Linked DNA regions of Oryctolagus cuniculus. The protein of the gene in region 1 purifies or fractionates together with the protein of each later gene. This does not show direct contact. Links are inferred from orthologs where the notes say so. Each region holds a gene or a part of one and is shown in the gene's direction. Other genes may lie near its edges.

Region 1 (3,907 bases):
AGGGTGGGCCAAGAGCCAAGAACAAAAGGCTGGAGTCACCAGCTTCCTGCTAATGCAGACCAAGCAAGGCAGCAGTGACGGCTCAAGTCCTTGGGGTGAACTCCCAGCTCCTCGCCTTGGCCTGACCCAGCCCTGGCTCATTAAGGCATCTGGGGAGAGAACCTCTGTCTGCCTACCTCTGTCTCTCTCTGCTTCTTGAATAAAGGTTACACTGGATTCAGGGAGGCAGGGAGGTCAGAGTCTAGATCAGGTCTGCTGTTAATGCTTTTTAAAGAGATTGATTTATTATTTATTTGAAAATCACAGTTACACAGAGAGAGAAGGAGAGACACAGAGAGAGAGAGAGGTCTTCCATCTGATGGTTCACTCCCCAATTGGTCGCAATGGCTGGAGCTGCGCCAATCTGAAGCCAGGAGCCAGCGGCTTCTTCCAGGTCTCCCATGCAGGTGCAGGGGCCCAAGGACTTGGGCCATCTTCCTCTGCTTCCCCAGGCCAGAGAGCTGGGTTGGAAGTGGAGCAGCCAGGACTCAAACCAGTGCCCATATGGGATGCCGGCACTCCAGGCAGCAGTTTTACCTGCTACGCCACAACGCCGGACCCTGCTGTTAACTTTTCAAAGTCCTTCCTTCCCTGATTTCCCAGCCATTCCATGAAGGGGAAGGGCATGAAGAGCCCTAGGGAGCCTCCTGGTTCTGCTGGGAGCCACTTGCACCCACCTGCCTCCTCTGGGTGCCCTCCTGGATCCCATGACCCAACACCAATTCACTGTCCAGTGCATGCAGACCTCTTTTCTGACTTGGAGCTTCAAGGGTCGCTGCCCATAGTTTCCAGCCCCTCCTTTATGTCTAGGTCAGCAACTCTGGACATCGGACCCAACAGAGGGATTCAACAAACACGGGTCAAACAAAAAAAAATTCACTGCTTCCTCCGAAGACCATGAGGGGATTCCTAGGCCTCTTTATTCATAACCGGGAAGATGACGGTGTCTCAGGTTAAACATAAGTCCCACTGCCACACGGGCTTGACTTCCACTTCTGCAAAGCCTTTACCACTACCCACCATGGCGTATAATTATTTGTCAGTGTTTCCCACTAGTTTCTTTATTCACTGCCAACTGCCTGGCATCTAGTGGGTGCATAGGAAATATTAGTAGCGGGGAGGACCGGGAAGGGTAGGAGGCAGCGCTCTCTGCCGATTGTGTTCTTTGGGCCTGCAGGGGGCGCTCCAAACGCGCTCCTCAAAGAGAGGCCCCGCCTCTGGCGTTCCGTCAACGCGCGTGCGTCGGAGCCAGCGCGCCACAGTGCTTCTTTTGATTGCGCAGGCGCGCCGGAAGCCCTGTCCGGACGGCGCGTGCGCGGAGGAGTCGAATCGGCGCCGGAGCAGAGCTTGAACCTGGTGGCGTTTGAACTGCGGTGGTAGCTGCCGGGTGCCATGCTGTCCCCCGAGGCGGAGCGAGTGCTTCAGTACCTGGTGGAGGTGGAGGAGCTCGCGGAGGAGGTGCTGGCGGACAAGCGGCAGGTAGGAGGCCGGGCCGCGGCGCTGGGGCCCGGCGGCCAGCGCGTAGGGCAGCGCGCGGGGCCCGTGGATGGACCCGGGCCGGTGGCCTGAGCTCCGCCACCACAGGCGCGGGCGGCCGTGGTAACGTGAGTCGGACGCTGGCTGGCGTTAAGTGGGCGTTCAGTCTGGCTCCGTCCCTGTCTGCCCCGTAGCGTGTCCTCCGGGTCCTGACCCATTACCGCTTCGGGCCGGTTTCTCGAGCACCTGTTTCAAAAGGCAGTTCCCGCGCCTCGCCGCGAGTCTGGCCGCGCTGGGCCGGTCAAGGCCCCGAGGGGAGAAGAAGGGCAAAGAGGAGGTCACGGGGGCTGCCCTGGTCGCTGAGGGCGCTGCAGGCCTGCCCAGGCGGCGTGGGTCGGGTTCTGATTTAAGTGCCACGCTTCTAAAGAGAGTTCACGGGGAAGGGGTGGGTAAAAAGCTGGACCTAGGCTTTAGGATATTCCCGCAGCTGTGCGGATTATAGGAGGGCGAGGATGGAGGCCAGGAGACCAGCGAGGGGCGTTTGCCGCTCCAGGTTTTGGTGCTGGCGAAGTGGATGGATCAGGAGGCAGTGGCAGGTGAGGAAGTGGGAATTGAGTGGTCCGCGACTCCCTGTCGTCTTCAGGTAGTGCTTGAGTGGCTGGTCCTGTGTTTACCGAGAGAGGGAAGACCTGGGGAGGAGTCGGGCTGAGTACTGCCTCCGGCGTGCGGGCCGAGAGGAACAGTGGCAGGTGCTCCCGACGGTTGTTCAGGGGAGCACATAGGAAGATGAAAGTGCCCAGCTCGCGGTGCCCAGCAGGAGTCCTCGGTGTGCTGTGCTCCGGCTCGCCAGCCCAGCCGGGCACCCCCGCCTCCTCACTGCTTAGCAGCCAGCGTGGTGCTTTCTCACCATACCGAGTCGGAGTCAGCGGGAGTACTTTGTCCAGCACCCGAGCTGCTTAGGCCTGCTTAATCAGAGTGTGGGGAGGCGTCAGATGCCCCTGGTGATTCTGGTTTAGTTACTGCAGAATCGCCCACTTAGCAGACATTTGCCAGCCCCTGTGGGGTGGGCGGCACCTGGGCACAGCGTTGTGTTTAGGAGGGGAAAGACGTCAGCAGCCCCGTGTCTGTCGGGATGTGCCAGCTTGGGCAGGAGGTAGCTGAGAGCCCCTGTCCCTGTGCTTTGCAGATTGTGGACCTGGACACCAAAAGGAATCAGAACCGAGAGGGCCTGAGGGCCCTGCAGAAGGAGCTCAGCGGCTCTGGTGAGTGGAGACTTCCTGCCCGCCGCCCTGTACCGAATGGAAACGCGTTTATCCCATAGTTTGTATAATTGTGACGTATCAGTTAGATGAAACCTCCATAGAGGCCTTCATCGTGCCCCCGGTGGAGACCAGGCGGGAGGCCGCAGATGTGGACGCAGCCTAGTGGGTGCTGACACAGCCTGGCCGGGGATTCCCGCTGGGCGCCTTAGTGGCGGGCTGCCAGCTCCTCATCAGCTGTGGCAGACTGCGCTGGGGTCCATCAAGGCGACAGCCGCTGCCCTTGTACTCTGGTGAGAAACACAGCAGAAGACGTGTAGGTGCAAGTCGGGAGGCGGCTAAGAATGGGCCTGGACGTGGGGCGGGTGCTGAGTATCTCAGAAGCAGAGCTCTGTAGGTGAGGCCAGAGTTCAGGGGGTGGCAGGGCGGGTGAGAGAGCAGAGACCCCGCCGTGATGAAGGGCCGAGGGGCCAAGGGAAGAAGTTTGTGTTCTGTTTGAAGGGCGCTGCAATGTGTACAGCCTTCCCGTTGCTTCTCCTGGCACGGAAGTAAAATCCAGAGTCATCCTGTAAGACCCCGTGTAGCCCAGCGTCCACCCCGCAACTGTCCAGTATTCTCTCTCTCACGAGCTCCAAACCCGTGCGTCTCCTGCCTGTTGTGACACCTCCAGCACATTTCTGATCTTTTTTTTTTTTAAGATGTATTTATGGCCGGAGCCGCGGCTCACTAGGCTAATCCTCCGCCTGTGGCGCCGGCACCCCGAGTTCTAGTCCTAGTCCCAGTTGGGGCGGCGATTCTGTCCCGGTTGCCCCTCTTCCAGTCCAGCTCTCTGCTGTGGCCCGGGAGTGCAGTGGAGGATGGCCCAAGTGCTTGGGCCCTGCACCCACATGGGAGACCAGGAGAAGTACCTGGCTCCTGGCTTTGAATCGGCACAGTGCGCCGGCTGTAATGCACTGTCCTTAGCGGCCATTGAGGGGTAAACCAACGGAAAAAGGAAAACTTTTCTGTGTCTCTCACTGTCTAACTCTTCCTGTCCAAAAAAAAAAAAAAAAGATTTATTTATTTGAGGGGCCGGTGCTGTGGTGCAGTGGGTTAACACCCTGGCCTGAAGTGCTGGCATCCCATATGGGTGC
Region 2 (2,975 bases), on another chromosome or scaffold:
TGGCGGGTTAGGCCGCCGCCCGCGACTGGCATCCTGTGTTGGGGCGTCAACCAGCACTGGGCTGATGTGCCTGGCAGCGTCCTTGGGCCCTGCTGCCCGTGCAGGACGTATCTGGCGCTCTGGGCTCCCGGGTGGGACCTGACCGGCTCCTGCTCTTGCCGTCTGGAGAGTGAAGCGCAGAAGGAAGGTCTCGGCCTTCTGCTTGTTAACTGAGATTTCACTGGTGTTGAGAATCAACGCAGACATTTTCATTTTTACACAGTTCTTAACATGCAAGGCAGAATCTAGGAAGCCTGAATTTTCGTTCTGTTTTCAAAAGTCACTCCAGTCATTTCCAGCTTCAAATTTGGAGGCAGCTCTTCCCATCAAGCACCAGCATCTTCAAGCGTTGATGTGACATAAATCCCGCCCTTTACAGGGTAACATCCTGTATGTGACAGACTCAAAAACGTGAACTAAACCACTAGGGAAAGTGGACCCCCACAGCCAGAGATTGACAGAGCACACGTGGTCTGACAGCAACGCCGGGTGGTTTTCTGTCAGGACAGATGAAATGCACCTTTGCCGTTTAGTATGTGTTGTAGGATATAAAAGCCACCCCCACCTGTGGAGTGTCAAGCTGACGGCCACGACAGCCGAAGCCTCCCATGATGGACTGTGTTGTCTGTCTGTCTGTCTGTATTATTATAATGCTACTATTTTCTGGTTGTATCAAAAAACAAACAACCAGCAAGTGATTTCACCTCTTAAAAATTATTTACACTTGGCCAGTGCCGCGGCTCACTAGGCTAATCCTCCACCTAGCGGCACCGGCACACCAGGTTCTAGTCCCGGTTGGGGCGCCGGATTCTGTCCCGGTTGCCCTTCTTCCAGGCCAGCTCTCTGCTGTGGCCCGGGAGTGCAGTGGAGGATGGCCCAGGTGCTTGGGCCCTGCACCCCATGGGAGACCAGGAGAAGCACCTGGCTCCTGCCTTCAGATAGGCGCGGTGCACCGCTGGCCGCGGCGGCCATGGGAGGGTGAACCAGTGGCAAAAGGAAGACCTTTCTCTCTGTCTCTCTCTCTCACTGTCCACTCTGCCTGTCAAAAAAAAAAAAAAAAAAAGTTTCTAGAGCTACTGAAAAACGTGCATTTAAACAGTAGTTGGTAAATTATTCCTGTGGATTGCACGAGAAGGGAGACAGGCGTCTGATATTAACCAGGGCGTCTGATATTAATCAGACTTGGCTTCTTTCTCTTCCTTCATCAGAGGTCACTCTGCCTTTCAAATAGATCCGTAAATCTTTTAGAAACTATGCATGGACTGGAAACTGTTAGTTTCATTTTCTATGAGCTCTTTGAAATTCTCTTACACAGGCTTTTCAGTACTTACTTCAAAGCTGTTTGAGCCTCTCCCCATTACTCAGTCTCCAGCAGTTTGTTACAGCAGCACCAACCGTGGAGATAGCCCCCTTCCAAGTTACTTCTCTAATCAGTCTCCAGCCAGATGGGAGAGACGCAGGGTCCCAGGACGGGAGGAGTGTTTCACAGGGCACAGGTTCACCTGTCCCTTCAGTGTTCGAGCTTGGTGGGAGTGGAGCCTCTGTTGGTAGTGTCCTTAGTGATCTTACGAAGTGTCCCTCACCAGCATCGTTTTTGTGAAGATTTATCTGTTTGGGGTCAGCGCTGTGGCCCAGCAGGTTAAGCTGCCCCTGCAGCACCAGCTTCCCAGATGGGCGCCGGTTCAAGTTCAGTTGCTTCACTTCGCTTCCAGCTCCCTGCAAATGACCTGAGAAAAGCTGCGGGTGATGGCACAGGTCCTTGGGCCCCTGCTCCCACTTGGGAGACCCAGATGAAGCTCCTGGCTTTGGCCTGGCCCAGCCCTGTCTGTTGTAGCCATTTGGGGATGAACCAACAGGTGGACGTCTGTCTCTCCTTTTCTCTCTAACTCTTTCAAATAAACAAATAACTCTTTTTTAAAGATAAGATTTATTTGGAAGGCAAGATGACAGGGTAGGAGAGAAGGAGACCCTCCAACTGCTGGTTAATTCCCCAGATGTCTGTGATGGCCAAGGCTGGCCAGGCTGAGGCCAGTGCCTGGGTCTCCTGCACAGGTGGCAGTGCCCAGGTACTTGGGCCGTCCTCTGCTGCTCTTGCCCTGCACTAGCAGGGAGCTGGATCCGGAGTGGAGCATCCGGGACTCTAACCAGCGCCCACATAGGATGCCAGTGTCGCAGGCGGTGGCCCCCCACTGTGCCGCCATGCTGGCCCCACCAGCGTCATTTTATGTAATGTGGTTCCCTGGTTGGTTTTTCTCCTTTGCAGAGCCGTGTCCCAAGTGCGAACATCCTCGTGCTTACTTCATGCAGCTTCAGACGCGCTCTGCAGACGAGCCCATGACCACCTTCTACAAGTGCTGCAGCCCCCAGTGCGGGCACCGCTGGAGGGACTAGGGCTGCGCTGGCCCAGCTGTGCCGGTCCCCAGGGTGGACTCCTGGCAAGGAATGTGAGCTGTGTGTCCTAGGGTCTTCGCTGGTGTGGCAGAGAGCGAGCCCTCCTGAGGGCAGGGCCAGGGTGCCAGGAACATCGTCCGTCGGTGGATGAAGTCATCGGGGGCCAGAGAGTCCTCGTGGGCGAAGAGGAGACCCTCACTGTGTGCTCTGCTCGGGGGAGGAGACCCTCGCTGTGCACTGCTCAGGGGAGGAGACCCTCGCTGTCTTCTCTCTGCTGGGGGGAGACCCTCGCTGTGCGCTCTGCTGGGGGGGGGACCCTCGCTGTGTGCTCTGCTGGGGGGAGACCCTCACTGTGCGCTCTGCTGGGGGGGAGGAGACCCTCCTGTGCGCTGCTGGGGGGGAGGAGACCCTCGCTGTCTTCTCTCTGCTGGGGGGAGACCCTCGCTCTGTTCTCTCTGCTGGGGGGTGATGAGACCCTCGCTCTGTTCTCTCTGCTGAGGGGAGGAGACCCTCGCTGTCTTCTCTCTGCTCCAGGAGGAGACCCT

Evidence for each region.
Region 2: the proteins of PDRG1 (region 1) and POLR3K purify together in Homo sapiens (affinity purification with mass spectrometry; 3 studies listed by BioGRID and IntAct, with this or other methods). This does not show direct contact. The link is inferred for Oryctolagus cuniculus from reciprocal best matches to the Homo sapiens genes PDRG1 and POLR3K.

Annotation. Positions count from the first base shown.
Region 1 is NC_091442.1:25,803,031-25,806,937, forward strand, and holds the start of PDRG1 (p53 and DNA damage-regulated protein 1), read left to right. Parts: upstream 1-1,287; 5' UTR 1,288-1,431; coding exon 1,432-1,518; intron 1,519-2,701; coding exon 2,702-2,777; intron 2,778-3,907. UniProt on the Homo sapiens protein: May play a role in chaperone-mediated protein folding.
Region 2 is NC_091450.1:34,576,980-34,579,954, forward strand, and holds the end of POLR3K (DNA-directed RNA polymerase III subunit RPC10), read left to right. Parts: intron 1-2,302; coding exon 2,303-2,430; downstream 2,431-2,975. UniProt on the Homo sapiens protein: Core component of RNA polymerase III (Pol III) which synthesizes small non-coding RNAs using the four ribonucleoside triphosphates as substrates. Can mediate Pol I proofreading of the nascent RNA transcript.